3 linked regions of the Caenorhabditis elegans genome follow. The protein of the gene in region 1 purifies or fractionates together with the protein of each later gene. This does not show direct contact. Each region holds a gene or a part of one and is shown in the gene's direction. Other genes may lie near its edges.

The links.
Region 2: the proteins of gba-1 (region 1) and gst-6 fractionate together in Caenorhabditis elegans (co-fractionation; one large-scale study listed by BioGRID). This does not show direct contact.
Region 3: the proteins of gba-1 (region 1) and ilys-5 fractionate together in Caenorhabditis elegans (co-fractionation; one large-scale study listed by BioGRID). This does not show direct contact.

The regions. Positions count from the first base shown.
Region 1 is NC_003280.10:2,175,093-2,182,868, forward strand, and holds gba-1 (Putative glucosylceramidase 1), read left to right. Parts: upstream 1-1,648; 5' UTR 1,649-1,854; coding exon 1,855-1,909; intron 1,910-1,959; coding exon 1,960-2,042; intron 2,043-2,644; coding exon 2,645-2,750; intron 2,751-2,943; coding exon 2,944-3,096; intron 3,097-3,443; coding exon 3,444-3,577; intron 3,578-3,625; coding exon 3,626-3,698; intron 3,699-4,264; coding exon 4,265-4,361; intron 4,362-4,410; coding exon 4,411-4,651; intron 4,652-5,179; coding exon 5,180-5,311; intron 5,312-5,361; coding exon 5,362-5,448; intron 5,449-5,577; coding exon 5,578-5,741; intron 5,742-6,497; coding exon 6,498-6,624; intron 6,625-6,673; coding exon 6,674-6,793; 3' UTR 6,794-7,418; downstream 7,419-7,776. Other genes in the region: C33C12.7 (AMP-binding_C domain-containing protein), read right to left, coding at 31-123, 180-182; gba-2 (Putative glucosylceramidase 2), read right to left, coding at 7,426-7,657. UniProt on the Caenorhabditis elegans protein: Glucosylceramidase that catalyzes the hydrolysis of glucosylceramides into free ceramides and glucose. C.elegans contains specific sphingoid bases, which are unique or different in structure compared to the sphingoid bases found in other animals.
Region 2 is NC_003280.10:4,878,271-4,881,832, forward strand, and holds gst-6 (putative glutathione S-transferase 6), read left to right. Parts: upstream 1-1,620; 5' UTR 1,621-1,645; coding exon 1,646-1,778; intron 1,779-2,227; coding exon 2,228-2,715; 3' UTR 2,716-2,835; downstream 2,836-3,562. UniProt on the Caenorhabditis elegans protein: Conjugation of reduced glutathione to a wide number of exogenous and endogenous hydrophobic electrophiles.
Region 3 is NC_003284.9:6,532,774-6,538,448, reverse strand, and holds ilys-5 (lysozyme), read left to right. Parts: upstream 1-1,608; 5' UTR 1,609-1,671; coding exon 1,672-1,705; intron 1,706-2,337; coding exon 2,338-2,450; exon of another isoform or gene 2,451-3,192; coding exon 3,193-3,309; intron 3,310-4,047; coding exon 4,048-4,104; intron 4,105-4,801; coding exon 4,802-4,900; 3' UTR 4,901-4,959; downstream 4,960-5,675.

The DNA.
Region 1 (7,776 bases):
TATAAAATTAGAAAATATAATTCAACTTACATATCCATCCCCAAGAGTGATGATGCCCATATCTTTGGGAGGCTTACCACATGCAGTCTCCATTGCAATATGCACCAACTTCTCGTCGAACACCTTAAAAAATAAGGCTGAGGTTTAGAAACTATTTTCCCCTTCACTCATCAATTTACCATCCTTAAACTCTTTTTGAAAAATTTCGTTGGCTTTTTCAAGAAGGTCAGTATTCGCCATCTTCTTCGAATACGCACATGGAGCTGTAAATTATTCTTGTTTAGGAAAACAAGCCTGAACAAAAAAAAAACAAAAAACTTACCGGAAACCAGAAGGAAAACTCCAACCAGGCAGACGATGGTGTTCATTTTGATAGTTTGAACTGATTGTTTCGGAGGGAAATCGCTTCTTATATAGTGGGGTTTTTTGGTGAGGTGGCAGGGATTTTATGGGGTCACGGGAAACTGATCTGTTTTTCGAATTTTGGAAATTCAAATTTTTTTTTTTTAATTTAAAGTTTCACGCTTATGAATCAAAATTTATTTTAAAAAATTCCATTAGAAAATAAAATATGCGTGAATTTTCTTCATATTTTGAAATGTAAGAGTTTGCCGAATTAGGCCAGCTTGACTCAGCCACTGCCGGGGTAAATTTACGGCGCGTTGTGTGCCGCGTCGCGGCTTGGCTTCCCACGACTTTCCCACGTGTTATCCGGCGGCGATTATCAATGGAGCGCGAAAAAGAAGACCAGAAGGACATAATTTTCAAGCTGCGTTGCGGTCGCGTCGCGGCTCAAATTTCGAAGGCCATCAAATTGGAGAAATTTGCATCCAGTTTTCCAGTTTTAATAGTGCAATTTTTTCAAAATTATTGGATTTTATGACTTCCGACAAGTTTTTCAAAAAGTTTTAAGCATTTAATTTGAAATTATAGTAATTTTCCTCTACGACCCAAATCTCAGCGTCACGGCCCGAGAAGTGGTACCTGTACGCAATTTGTCTACCGTATACCTGGAAGTTTGGGCGCAAGTATCTCAAAAACGGTTGGTCCAGTTTTTTTGTGATGCATATAAAAAATGTCCGAAATTAAATTCTAAATTTTTTGGACCAAAGCTTTTTTCGTTATCACGCGCCCAAACCTGGTCTACACTCAAATTATCAGTAGAGCGCGTTTGCATGGATGTACCACTTGTCGGTCCGTGAGCGTAAAATTCAATGTTTTGGCGGTGTTTGCGTATTTTTGGCGCTACCGTAACCCTCGAATTGTAATTTTTGGAATTTAATGGTTACTGGGCTCACTTCTCATGCTTTTTGGTTTTTTCCCCTGAAAAATCAATAGTTTTCGGGTTTTTTGAGTGAAAATTCAAAATTGTAGAATTTCAGCCAAATTTCTGATTTTTAAGAAAATTGCTCAGATTTTTAAATATGTAATTTGGATTCTCCGTGTTTTTCTTAGTCTACAATAAAAATTTCAGCTCAAATTTCAAAAATCGCGTGAAATTTGGTGTTTGCGTACTTTTGGCGCTACCGTAACCCCTGAATTTTCACAATTGAGCTAGAAAGCTCTAATTTCAGGGGTCCTGCCTGGAATTTTGTGAGCAACTCGAATTTGAACTTGAAATTGTACAAAATCTCGCTTTGCACTCAGATTTTTCTTGCAAAAAAACTTTTGACATCAAAAATTTTACCTAATTATAATCATATTTTGTTCTATGTTCCAAAACTATCGTCACAATTTCCGTAAATTCCACCACGTGTTCTATGAACCGGGTACTGATAAGAAACACTGATAAACTTCATAAAAACGCCAAAACTACGAGACTTTAGTCGTCATTTTGTGCCATTTTTTCACAAAATGAAGTCACGATTTTTATTGAAAATCTTCATATTTTTAGCGGTTTTTGGAGTTGGTAGGTCGAATTTTTCAAGAACTACGACACTCCGAAATCCCGCTTTTCAGATAGTGTCCGGGCAGCTGATTGTACGGAAAAAACATTTAAAACCGGAACAGTATGCGTTTGTAGTCTCGATTCTTGCGATGAGGTGAGATTTGAAAAAAAAAACATTTTTGGAAAAAAAATTGAAAACCAAAATTGTTATGAAAATTTCATATAAATTTTTGAATTCTCCTCGCAATTACCGTTGATTTAACACCAATATCGGCCATATTTCATAAAATTTGAAATTTGAATTAGTTTCCCCTGCGGCGCGGTCGCGTCGCGGTCGGACTTGAAAATTTTAGAATTCTTGTAGAAACCAATGAATCAAGCAAGGATTTTTAGAAACTAAGTAAAATTGATTGAGATTATCCAAAAAGAATCTTTAAAACTGGTTAAAGGGGGTCTATAAAGTTTGACCGCGACGCAGCCGCGACGCATGACCAAAATTCAGTTTTTGTCTGAATATAGCCAATATGGGTGTCAAATCAAAGGAAATTTCACGGGAAACTCGAAAATCCCCATGAAAATGCATTTTAACCAGTCGCTTTTTTTTAATCTAAAATTTTCAAAAAATAAAAAAAGGTAATTTTCCAAAAGAAAATTTTTTCCCTTTTTTTTAATTTTAATTGTTACTTTAAGCCAAATCCGACACTTTCCTGAACCAAAATTTCACGAAAAATTCAAAAAATTGTATAAAAATTCCAGATTCCACCTCTGGACATCACTATGGGTCAGGCGGCACTCTACACCACCTCCCATACCGGCGCCCGGCTCCACAGGGATGTCATCTATGCGACGGATACTGAGCCATGTGAGTTGTGGAATTTTCAGCTGAAACAAGTTTGAAAAAAATTTTCGAAGCTTAAAAAATATTTTTGAAATTTTTTAGTTTTTGAATTTTTTTTTGTTCTTAAAATAAATTTTCCTTGTACCTAAAAAAATGTTCCTTTACTAATTTTTTACAAAAATTCTAATTTTTGAATTGAAAACCCTAAAATTTTCAGTCGGAACCCTGCACATGACAATTGACTCCTCCAAAAAATACCAGACGATCCAAGGATTTGGCTCCACATTTTCCGATGCTTCTGGTGCAAACCTGAAGAGTTTGCCGGACAAATTGTCGGATTTGATTATGAAACAATATTTTTCGGATACAGGTTAGCATTTTTTAAACAGCTTAAGCTGAAACTGGCCAATTGCAAAAAAGTTTAGGTTTTTAGGACCACTGAGAAAAAAGTTACGTCGATAGTTCAGTAGAGCGCAGTTGCAAATTTGGAAATTAAATTTTGAAATTAATTGCAATTGATAGATCACAATTTTCTCTACAGTTTTCTCTCTTACCCCAACTCTCTAGAACCGATTTGAAGAAAGTTATTCCAAAAGTTCAGTGGAGCGCACTTGCAACATCAAACAATTTTCAAATTAAGTATATGTCATTCGCTAGGAAATTTCAAATTCTACAACTTTCAGTATTGCAAGTGCGCTCCATTGAATTTTTTTCCAGGACTTAACCTCCAATTCGGTAGAGTTCCAATAGCCAGCACAGATTTTTCGGGTCGAGTTTACAGTTATAACGATGTCGCAAATGATTATTCAATGCAGAATTTTAATTTGACTAAGGAAGATTTCCAGTGGAAAGTGAGTTTATTTCAACGCAACTTTAAATTTACTCTTAAAAATTTTTAGATCCCATACATCAAAAACGCGCAGAAGTACAATCCGAACTTGAAGTTATTTGCAGCTCCGTGGGCAGCACCAGGTAATGTTTCTCACTAAGATTTTTGAATTTAGCACAAAATTTGCTGAGTTTTAAGCCCCATATTGACTATATTCGGTGCAAGTTGAATTTTTGGCCATGCGGCGCGGTCGCGTCGCGGCCCAGAAAATAAAGTGGAGCGTTAACTGATTAAAAATCAGGGTTTCCTGCTGTTTGGCAGTATTTAAATTTTTCTGTGTTAGATTAAACACAAGTTTGGCGCACTTTTGGTACAAATTTCGAAATTCTAATTCCGGACCGCGACGCGGCCGCACCGCATATCCTAAATTTAAAACTTTTCCAAATATAGTCAATATATCAAAATTCCGCGAATTTTACGGAGAATTCAAAAAATTTAGCTGCAAATCACATAATCGCTTCTAAACACACTTTTGAAAATTCGACCGCGACGCGACCGCAACGCATCTGCCTAATTTTCAAAGTTGTCCGATTATAGTCGAGATTGGTGTCAAATTAACGAAAATTTTGCGCTTAATTCGGAAATTTAAATGCCAACGCTCGAAAATTGTCTGTTTTTCCTAAGAAAAAAATTGTTTCAATAATTTCAGGATGGCTTAAGACTACTAAAGAAATGACAGGACCTGGGGCTCTTAACGGAAAAGCTGGGGATAACTATCATCAGGCATACGCCAAATATTTTGTCAGGTAATTCAACTATTTTCAGACTATATCAGAGTTTTTTTTCGAATTTCAGATTCCTCGAGGAGTACGGAAAATCTGGAATCTCATTCTGGGGACTTTCAACTCAAAACCAGCCAACATTAGGCTCCGATAAGAAGAATAAAATACAATCGACACTTTTCACAGCTGAAACACAACGAGATTTCATAAAAACTGACTTGGGACCAGCCCTGGCTGCTTCAAGTTCTGGAAAAGATGTGAAACTTCTGATTCTGGACGATAATCGAGGAAACTTGCCGAAATGGGCAGATACTGTAAGTTAATGTTGTCAAATTTGGAATCTCCGTACAATTTGCAAAGTTTTGACACCCATATTGACCTATTTTGGATCATTTTGAAATTTTGGACTTGCGGTGCGGTCGCGTCGCGGTCAAATTTTTTCATATCGAGCTGGGGCGAACTGTGACGTCTGGTACGCTTCCAAGACATTATAGATAATAATTTTGCAGCAACCAATTGTTTTTAACAACAATTTCGAGCGTTTTCAAAAATTGGTAGAATTTTTACCGCGACGCAACCGCACCGCATGCCACAAATTTCAAACTTGTCCGAATATAGCCGATATGGGTGTCAAATTTCAGCAAATTTCACGAAAAATTCAAATTTTCATGTTTTGAAAGCCCAAGGCTACGTTAAAACAAGTTTATGAAAACCTGACCGCGACGCGACCGCGCCGCAAGCCCTAAATTTCAAACTTATCCGAATAAAGTCGATATGGGGCTTAAAATTTTGCAAATTTTACGGAGAGTTCGAATTTCATACTCAAAATTCTCAATTTCCAGGTTCTAAACGACATGGACGCCGCAAAGTACGTGGGCGGTATCGGGGTTCACGCATATCAAGACGGAGAAACTGATAATCACTTGGATGAGACTCACAAAAAACATCCAAATTTTTTTATTTTAGGCACTGAGGTAAATTTTAGTTTTTAGGCAGAAAAATAAATTTAGGCCCAAAATTTCAGGCTTCCGAAGGCTACGGGTCCAAGGACACCCACGTGGATTATGGAAATTGGGATCGTGCAGCAGATACTGCTTCAGATATTTTAGATGTAAGAGAAAATATAGTTTTGAAGAAATTTCTAGAAAATTGGGGAAAAGTTCGGAAAAAAAATTTCAAAATTTTAATTTTTTTTTCAAATTTTTTTTTTCATAATTTTTTTTTCTACATTTTTTTCCAGAACATGAACAACTGGATGACTGGCTGGACAGAACGTAACCTAATCCTAGACGCCCTGGGTGGTCCATCATGGGTGTCCGACTACACAGATGCGCCGGTCATTGCGTTCCCAGCGATGGCTCAATTCTACAAGCAGCCCATGTTTTATGCGATTGCACATTTTAGGTAGGTTTCTATTAGTTTCTGCATGAAATAACTAAAATATTAGAATTTGTCGTTAAAATTGGATCTAGAAAATATAAAAATTGAAATTTTTTGGGAAATTTTTGTTGAAAATTTTCTAAAACTGTCTGAAAAGCAGCTTAACACGCAATTTTCCAAGTTTTCAAACAGAAATTCGAATTTCTCGTATAATTTTAGTTTTGAAATCAAAAACTAGAAGTTTCTAGCTCGATTTTGAGATTTCGAGGGTTACTGTAGCTCCAAAAGTACGCAAACACCGACTACAGTACCCCAAAACACCGCATTTCACGCAATTTTCGAATTTTGAACTAAAAATTCACAGATATACTAAGAAAATAGTGGAGAATTTGAATTTGATATTAAAAATGCTGAGAATTGTTTTGGAACCTAACCAAAACGACAAAAACATCTGAATATCGATGAAATTCTGAAATTTTTTGAGTTTTTGAGCTCAAATACGAGTTTCCTGCAAAATTTTAGATTGAGTCTCAAAAACTAGATCTTTCTAGCTCAATTTTGAAAATTCCCGGGTTACTGTAGCTCCAAAAGTACGCAAACACCGACTACGGTACCCCAAAACACCGAACTTGGCGCAATTTTCGAAACTTGAGCTAAAAATTCAGAATCAGACTAATTGAAGTACGGAGAATTTGAATTTCAAACTGTAAATTTTCAGAAAAAATTTCTACCATCTAAAAATTCACGAAAACACTGGATTTCGCAATAACTAATTTTCAGTCACTTCATCAAGCCTGGAGCAGTAAGAATCGACCACTCATTAAATGTAATTGAGCTGGAAGTTGAAACCACCGCATTTTTGAATCCTGATGGCTCAAAAGTTATTGTAATGCTCAATAAGGGCTCGGTTTGTGCTGAAAGTCCAACTTTTCAGCCGAAAATTTCTAAATTTTCAGCTAGTCTCAACGGAGCACACAGTAGTTGTCCAGGATGCTGCTGATAGCCGTAATCACTATCATTTTACACTTCCACATCGAGCTATTACCACTTTGTATATTCAAACTTCACAGTTTTAGTGGATTTTTCGACAAAAATTGCTTATTAAATAAGTTTTCATGTTGATTGTTGGATTTTTCATAAAATTTGCGTCAATTTGACCCCCATATTGACATGTTTTGAAGCAGTTTGAAATTTTGGTGGTTTTTGGGACGCGGCGCGGTCGCGTCGCGGTCCAGACTAAAAAGTCGCTAGATAAAAAGTTTTCCACGTTTTTAGAGGATGTCTGTTCGAATAATTTAAGTTTCAAGCTATTTTGCATCACTTTGACACCTGCAATGCTATGATTTGAGGCAATATAAAACTTAAATTTTTGAAAGCGGCGCGGTCGCGTCGCGGTCGAAAATCGAAAACTCATCTTACCTATAGTTTTAAACTTTTTTATGCATGTTTTCGAATTTTTCTAAAAATTTCCATCCATTTAACACCCATATTGGCATGTATTAAACAATTTTTAAATTTTAGTAGTTTTGGACCGCGATGCGACCGCGCCGCGGGGCTCAAATTTCAAAGTGAACCGATTCTAGTCGATATGGGGCTTAAAATTTCAGAAATTGAATGAATAATTCAAATTTTTACACTAAAAGTTCAGGTTTCAACACGATTTTTTAAATTTTTCAAAAATAAAATTTTAAAAAATTGATATTTTATTCTAATTTTGAATATACAACGTAACAATTGTTTTAGGTGATAAATGAACTTGATAATGATCAGTAGACTTCATAGTATCCTTAATTGATAAACTATATGGTGCCAAAGGATTTTTATTATGGAGCACCACGACTTTTGAGCCATCCGGATTCAAAAATGCACTTCGTTCAATTTCTGGGTTTGGCATGTTCAGTGAATGGTCGATTCGAACTGCTCCGGGCTTCAGAAAATGACTGAAAATTGGAAAATGTGTTGGGAAATTGACGGAGAAAAATTTTTTAAAAAAATTTTTGGAATTTTTTTTTTTCGAAATTTTTTTTCCCTAAAATTTTTTTTTTCGAGTTTCTTTTCC
Region 2 (3,562 bases), 2.7 Mb from region 1:
AATGGAATGAGAATAAAAAGTTAATGATATCTGAAAACAAGGTATAGTCATACCAGCAAGAGTAAATTTCCAAAAAAATAGTTTCACAAAAATGTGAATGTTCACTTTTTTGCTATATTCACGATAATAACAATTAATCAAAAATTCTACTAATATCGCAGATTTGAAAAAATTGAATTGCAAAACGGATAAACTTGCCAGCAAAAGTGGAAGCCTCGGTGGTCAACTTAATTTTCTAAACCCACTAAATTGCGTAACTTCAAGCTGCCGTATCTGGAAAAATACAAGTCTTGAGCAAAAATTGCTAACTAACAAAATGATTCAAAATATTTTTACTTTTATTTGCATTACTTTTCACTGCAAAAAACTAATTATTTGCAGAGTTGCACAGAGAATTTTTAGGTCGTTTCAGAGAAGAAATCACTTAAAATGAACATGAAATTCGTAAATAGCGTGTTCTCAGCTTTCTAAAAATATTTTTTTCGACCCAAAAATCGCAATTTCATTTTTCCGCTCATTTTTCGAAAAGCAAAAGTCCCATTTCTTATTTTGGAGCGGAGGACGATTTTGGAGATGAGCCCACATTTTTGAAAGATTTTCTAGGACATTGTAGAAACCTCAAAAAAATGATCATTTTTCAAAATTTCAAGTCGATACGTTGGATATGAAGATTTTTATGACGGAGATTGGATTTTTTCAGAAAACGGTCTATAACTTGGCGGAACATGAAAATATCGAAAAACTTAAAACGGATAAAATGTGGAGAAATATTTTTCACTTACTACTTAACAAAATTTATCTTTTGAAATTCAATGAATATTGAGTTATAAAGGGTACAACAAAAGAGTTCTCAAATTTTTCTTTGAATTTTGGAAAAATGGCTTTGACTCTGTGTAACTCTACAAAAAGTTGTTGATATACAAATTAATGTAATAGAAAGAACAAATGTTTCTGATCATTTTGTTAGTTAAAAATTGTTTTTCAGACTTGTATTTTTCGAGATACGCCAGTTTGAAGATGCTCAGTTTAGCGATTTTAGGAAGTTATTTGGTCCGTTGAGTGTGATGTATACCAAGATTGGAACTTTGAAAATATGAAAGTATAGGAAAAGAAATGCAACTCTAAGGCACTTCAGGTGTGAGCGGCAAATGTTTTTTTACGGCAAAAAAACGGGAAACCGGCAATAACGGTAAACCGGCATTTTGCCGGAAATCAGAAATTACCAAAATTTCAGAATTTCAATTTTAATCGGCGAAATTGTACGCATCCTATAAATGTTCCTAAATCTATTTTAATAAGTAAGCAATTATGTGTTTTTTTCTTAATTTCAGGTCTTTCCAAAAAAGAAATTATCAAGAATTGACATGATATCAAGAAGTAACAGACTGTATATTCCCCATAAAGCTTTAAAATTAATTATCCTCTCAAAGCCTTTTTGATTTCTGAAATCACGGTTGATCATACTATAGTCAATCTTGAAAGTGATCCGAAAAACGCTGTGCTCTCAAGTTTTGGTTTTGTCATCAAATATCTTCAGTCATATATTGAAAAGTAAATAATGATAGTAGAGCACACAAAAAATGATAAGAATAACCCAGTATTTGATGATAATTCACATTCATTTTGTAGGAAAAAATTTCACGAAATGGTTCACTACAAGCTCGTCTACTTCCCATTAAGAGCCCGTGCTGAAATTGCTCGACAAATCTTTGCCTATGCAGGACAGGATTATTCCGAGGAGAATCTGAGCTTTGAACAATGGCCAGCACGCAAAAATAGTGAGTTTATACACTTTTGGCAAAGATAAATGGTTTCAAAACTTGAAAACTACGTTTCATACATTTCGGTATTTGTTTATTTTTTAAATTGTAGATAATTGCAAACAAAAGTTCTCTAACTTTTCACATCCGAACTAGAACAGTATTCCATGATTCAATACTTTAAAAAAATCACTTTGCAAATTGGGATTATGCTTCTGATTGTTTTTTTTATTTCCTGATTTAGGGTGATCAGTCAGAAGTTCAGAAAAAAGGTTGTAGGTACGAGGAAAACTTGATGCTTGAAACTTTTTATGGAATTGTGCTTTCTGACAACATCTTGGACACTGTGGAAAAGTCGCTCCTGGAGATCGAACTAATCCGAAAAATTTTCTAAGACCTTCATACTTTTTTAAAATTAAGATTAGATTTTATTTTAAAACACTTCTCCTCAAATTTCAAATTTCTAGACACTCCATTCGGTCAATTGCCAATTTTGGAAGTCGATGGAAAACCATTGGGACAGTCATATGCAATTGCTCGGTACTTGGCCAGAGAGTTCGGAATTGCTGGACAAAATGACACCGAGGCGGCAGAAGTGGATGCAATTGCTGATCAATTCAAGGATTATCTCAACGATGTCTCCCCATATTTAACAGTTCTTGCTGGATTCAAACCTGGAGACAAGGATCAACTGAGAACTGATGTTTTTGTTCCAGCTTTCAAAAAGAATTTCGAGTTTTTCGAGAACATTCTGGCATCTAATCACAGTGGTTTCTTTGTTGGAAACTCTTTGACATGGGTGGATCTTTTGATTTCGCAGCACGTTCAAGATATTTTGGATAAAGATTTGGCAGTTGTTGAGGAGTTCAAGAAGGTTTTGGCACATCGTAAGAAGGTTCAGAGCATCGACAGAATTCAGAAGTATATTGCAAACCGTCCAGATTACCCATTCTAAATTGAAATGAGTTTGCAATTTTGTATTATTTTTTAATTCATATTTCAAGAAGCAATTTTTTGCTAATTTGTTTTAATGGAAATCGATGTTTCTAAAATATCTTGAATGAATTGTTCTTTTAAAAATTTTATGGTAAAGTTTTCAGCAGGATGTTTCTATAGAAGCTTTTTGCATTGCAAGAGTGTTGAAATATACAGGATATTTACAAAAGCCTGGGAAGTAGGCATGCTTTTAGGTACAAATCAGACCTACACCGCCTTCCTTTGTGGTTTACCATCATAGCTAAAACTTTCCGAACATTCCCTGGTGAGACACAATGTTCAAAGCACAAAACCAATCACGTCATAATGTTAATTTGACTTTTATTGTCAAAAATTACAAAAGCGTCGTTTTCTGGAACATGAACATAATAAGAATTTTCAAATTTCGGTGGGCACAATAAATATGTAATCTTTTATTTATTTTTGGAGGATAGTCTTTTCAAAGGCAGGTGTATAACCCTCAAAAGAAAGCACGTTTGTGTTTCAAAGTGAGACTTAAATTATTTCAAAGACAAATTCCATAGGAAATCATTGTTCATCAGGCACCTTCCCAGAAATTAGGCTGTAGGCAGGCACGTAGGCTGCGGTAAATGCCTACGCCTCTTTTGCGCGAGATTATGAAATTGTGTTGTACTGTCGGAAAAATTTCAGAAACAAAAAAAAATATTTTTTGTGACTTTTTGTGTCAGTTATAGTAGTTTCTTATCATGGTATCTTCAATAATAATGGCAAGCGTAACAAGATGATTGATGCCATGGGTTTATATTTGTGAGTAGTCACAAATTGTGACACAACATTCCCTTCGA
Region 3 (5,675 bases), on another chromosome or scaffold:
CACATTTTATGATTTTTACGGAACTAAAGAAGAGTTTTTAGAAACTACTTGGTACATACTTATCAGAATGGTTTGCACGAAGGAAATTGGTCTTGAATTTCAATTTTCTCTGCCGCTTCTTCCAATCTCCCAGCACACCCATGTCTATGAAGCAAAACCAAATTGCGATGGAATCGGAGCAATTTTTGATATCAACTGATAATGTTCATTCGTTTCCGAAAAGTCTTAACGAGGCGAAACCATGCCGATCGCACTATTTACAGATCATATTATAACAAAAACGGTTTGTGTTTCATTATTTGATAGCACAAACTGTAGACAAGGAAATACGCACCTAGTTTGGTTTGCTGGAAGAGCATGACAAAAGAAAACAATTCTCCATAAAAGCGTCTAAAATGTAACAATGAAGATCGAAAAGTAAAAACTTGTGGCAAAGTTCTAGACTGGATAATTGATGCGACAACCAAGTGGTTTTGTTGCGTTTTTAGTCACGATTATTCCAATTCAGGCTCTCAAATGACGTCGTCACACATAATGAATGAATTATGACAAAACAGACTGCACTACTGAAGAGAGCAATGCGGAACGAGGATTCAGTGTGTAAACTAAGGTAAATCCGCGTGAACGTCGTAACTGCTTGGATTTACTGTCTATTCACTCATTAGTGAGTGATATACTTGTATTGAATGAAATTTCCTAAAGCTCCCGTCGTTACGGAATTCACGGTCAATTGAATTTACAAAAACCGTCCGTATTCAAAAACATTATTATAAAATGAATAAAAATTGAATTGTTCGATGTTTGATTGTTTACTGTTTTGGTTTTTGTTTAGATTATTCTACTTGTACTTGAATTGTCCTTTTAACATTTTAGTGAAAATAATCAAGCTTGAATGAGTTTTTTTTCAGTTTCACATGACTTAACCCTTGCACAAAGTTGTTGAGCCGGAAACTAAAGCTTACTCATTAGAAAAATTTACCTACTACCTGATCGTAGTTAGGGTTTTTACAAATAATCTTTGTGTTAAAAGAGAAAAACACGCTTGTTTTGTGAAAAGAATGCTGGTTCGAGATGTATCTGGGGAACTGAAAAACGTCGGTTCAAAAATTAGCTCAATATTATTTTTAATGGAACTTTATAAGAAAAAAACATCATCACATAAATACGAAAATCTAAATATTACCTCATTGAAATTTGAATAACAAAAAAAATGGTCAAAGACACAAATAAATATAATCTTGATCCTATTTCAGAGTATTTCCTCGTCCACCCCCACCAATCAAAAGTATATTAGGAAGCCGCGTTCTTTTTGACCCGAAGATTGGATTATAAGATTAGCAACAGAGGTGTATCCTTTCACGGAAAATTGCAGTCCATTTCAATAATCACAAGATTTCTGATTTGTTGCATTGTGTTGGTTTTCTGGGGAAGGATATACGTTTTTCTAGAACTATCCATGCCACACTTTGATTGGCATTGAAAGTGGCATCAATTGCTCTTTCGCTCTGCGATCACAGAGCTGTAACTCCGCCTCTGACAGTCTTCGGTACAGGTGCTTACGTAGGAATTACCGGGTTTTGAGATAAGGAATTGTGATCAAAGGCACGTGTAAGTTGATATAAAAGAGAGTCCAAAAGTTAGCAAACTCAGACAGCTTGTCCATCAGCCGATATGTTTGTCAAATCGCTTCTGCTCCTTTCTGTCGGTGAGTGTGATAACAAAATTAAAACTGGTTTCAGTGAACAGCAAAATTGTATAAGATCTAGTAAATCACCAGCTCAAAAGAATTAGATCAAAACCAACATGAAATTGGATTTTTAAGGTGCTAATTTAATTTCAATGTTTACATTTTCTTTTTTTTTTAGTTATCAGTTGAAAATGTTTCGATAAGTCTGAACACTGATGCGTTCAATCAATTAAAACAAAACTAGAGAAATTTTTAATTTCCATAAGGCTGGTAATATCTTCTTTTAAAAACAAAGAATGAAACGTCATTTAAAGTTTAATATCGGCTAACCAAAGATTAATCTAGACTCAACTACTCCCATATTTAGTGTTAACTCTTGTTGTTGTTTGCTTGTTTATAAAATTTTATCGGATGAAAGTTCGCTTAATATTAGCTCAAATCATTTCTCGGCTCACGGGACATCTGATTATAGGTTTACAGCTAATAGCACGTTTTGAAAGCTAAATATGTGTTTCACATTTGTAAAAAACAATAGGGAAAAGTAACAACAATTATAGATCGAAGAAATAGGAGAAAAATAAAAATAAATTGAAACTTTAAAAAAAGGCAGAGACAGCGAATAGAACTATTTCGTGATTACGGTATTTCAGCTATTGCGTACGTTTCCGCCGACTGCCTCCACTGCATCTGCATGAGAGAGTCAGGATGCAAACCAATCGGTTGCCACATGGACGTTGGATCCCTCTCCTGCGGATACTATCAGGTAAATCAAGATCAACTAGGGAATATGTGAATCTAGAAATGGAAATAGCAGAATATCAGAACACGTTTTCAATTTTGTCATGAAACCATACAAGATGTTCGGTTGCCTGTTTATTGTTTTGCCATTTAAATAAGGAAACAATAACACTTCAGAAAAATACGTGAAATTCAAAAGCTCATCTTTCATGTCTTCATTAATTGATGGTTTTTGAAATCGGCACGAAATGTTTGTTATGCCTCATTGAACAGATATTTCTTTAATGAAAATCTAGCATAATTGAAACGGTTCATCGGACCACAGCCCCCATATTTTTCACATATCTCTTCTCAAGCGAATCGGAAGTTCCTAATCAGTATGGTAAAATAAATCGCGTTGAATTTTAATTTTGAGTTTTTTCGATAAAAATGTATAACAAGAAACGATGTTTTAAATTGCTAAAACAAAAAAACCACAAAAGAGCAAATGCGTACTTTCCCGAGGAAATGGACAGGAAATGCTTTGAAAATGTTAAAACGGGATTGATTTTTGTATAGGGGAACTTTTGCATTGAAGCTAAGAAGATAAAAGGCATACTAGAAATGAAAACTTTCAAAACCATGTAGACAAGGAAATTGTATGGAACAACAACAAGGATATACAAAAATTGAACTCTACTCTATGTATTCCAGTTTTTTTTAATTTTAAATGTACCAAGACCCAACTATAAAAAGTAAAGAATAAAAATATAATATGTTTCTTTTAGATCAAGATTGGATACTATGAAGACTGCGGACAACCAACAAAGAAGGCTGGAGAGACTACTGAAGCTGCCTGGAAGAGATGTGCTGATGATCTTAACTGCGCTACCACTTGCGTCGAGGTACGTGCAGATTTAGCAACAGGATACATGCAAAAAAAATCATCAAAATTCTTATTTTGGGAAAACGGGTGTTGAGTGGGTGCAACTTTTCATCCTTAAATCGCAAAATTCCGGATAGACTGCGGCTTATTTCAGTCATGGAAGCAATTCTATCCTTTGGGAATCTCGTCATATCATTCTCAAAATTAAAAACTTCGCGACTAAATTTAGTGTACGAATTACGTGGATCGCCCACCTGAGAACTCAAATTTCTACTATCTGCCGCTAATTGAGGCAAATTAATTTAAACGTCATGTAGACAATACTGCGATGAGTAACTTTTCTGCAATTTCAACGGCGGAACTAGAAAAAAAGGAACTAGCTCAAAATAAGTTGCGAGATAATGTCAAAAATCACAGAATTAACCTGTAAACAAAAATGCACACATAGCAAACGAGCCCAGCAAAAAACGTCATTGTTAGCTTCTATGTATGGCTATAGCGGTGGCGACGTTAACGACATCAAAGACAATAAGTACTTATTGTTATCAACACCCCGCTAACAACGTGCTTACCACGCCATAAAAAGTAGCAAAGAAAGATTATGACGGCTTGAAAAGAGGTTAAAGAACTCTAATACGGAATGAATGTTTGCACTCTTCACAAAATTTATTGAATACGTCAAAAATCACATATACAAAAGAGGAAATCTAAAATTTTAAAATCTACATGTTATACAAGCATTTTGAAATAATTTCAGAACTACTACAACCGCTACAAGTCTCAGTGCAATGGACTTGGAATGGGAGCTTGCCAGGTGAGTCGCCTACGCAGTTGTTGTTTTGCTCTGGGCACTTTCAAATTGTGTAGATGAAATACAATTTAAAGTTTTCGAGTGTCTGGTAGTTTGGAGGAGGTTGCCCCCCGATTTTGATTTTTGAATTGATCAGAAGGAAACAAAATATTTCATAAAGTGATGCGAAGTTTTAGGAAAGATACAAAAATTTCCGCGAAAAAGGGGTCAGAGTTTTTTATTTAGAGCAAGAATGCTACTACGCAACTAACTATAAGAGGTTGAAAATTAAATGTCGAACATTTCTATTTTGGGTAGCAGGGGAAAACATTAATATGCCATAGTCACTAGGTAGGTGAAACGACCCTCTGGAATAGAGAAATTATTGCAGACCTGAACAGGTCTGACGTAGAAATGTCTAGAGCATCCAAGTAGTATTCCACCAAAAAATGTACATATACTTCCTGACAATTTTTGGAAAATTCTGACGACAGAAACACTACAATTTTTTCTCGATTCTTTATCTTTTAATCATTTTGGTCACACTTGAGCAGTTTTTTAACATCATTTCATTGAGTGGACATGTGTATTTGACAATTGATAATAGTGGGACTAACAATCAGAAAACTACGTAGCATTTTCAGAAGTATGTTGTTTTGTTCAAGTTAGGACAAAAGACCTTAGATTTCAATCAAGCAAATGGCAATCCATTCAATTTCAGATCATGTCCCGTAACCACAACGGAGGACCACGTGGATGCCACAACGCCAACACCTTGGCTTACTGGAACGGAGTTAAAAGCTGCTGTGGATGCTCTTAATTTTCAATTTTATCAAAATAAGAATATATATGAATCAATAAAGCTTATTTAAAATCAAAGTAGAAAGGATATCAAACTTGTTTATAAGCTTTTCAAAACATAGGTTGCGAAAAAATGCGAACGTTTTGAAAAATAATTGAGTAGGCGAAGAGGTCAGTGGGTTTAAAATGATGTCAGAGTGAACAATTTATGAGAACAAGCATATCGTTTTCTAAATTTGTAAAGGTCTAAGTAGACCACCATCTATGTCATAGGTTGTATCTTAAAATAAGTTGACCCGTTTTATGATCTAGTTTTATATTCTTTTTGCCTCTGGTGAGAATAAACAAGGCTTTCAATTTGTCTGCTCGATGATGCATGATGTTTACGATACTTTCGGATTAAAATAATCGTGAGATGGATTTGCACGAAAAGGTTGCGGAACGAACAGCTCGAATGATATTAAATGATAATCTCGAATTGTCAACAAAGTACATTATGAAGTGATAGGAACTGTTGTTCGCAGACCTGAGATGTTTTGAAAACTTGATTTTAAAACCTACGCAACCGGAAAATTAAAGATCACAAGATTTCTGTGAGGATCATAACGGGTGTAGGTAGCAACTTTATCTCGGTGTTTCCACATTTCTATTTCAGGCTTAAAAACAAAGTTGGTCTTTTTCGTTCTCAAGTTGAGCTCAAGACAGAAGTTGGGAAAAATATCATTTTCAGATTACCAGCAAACTTTTCAAAACAGAGCAGAAAGAAGAAAACTGATCATTCGTGATAAAATATT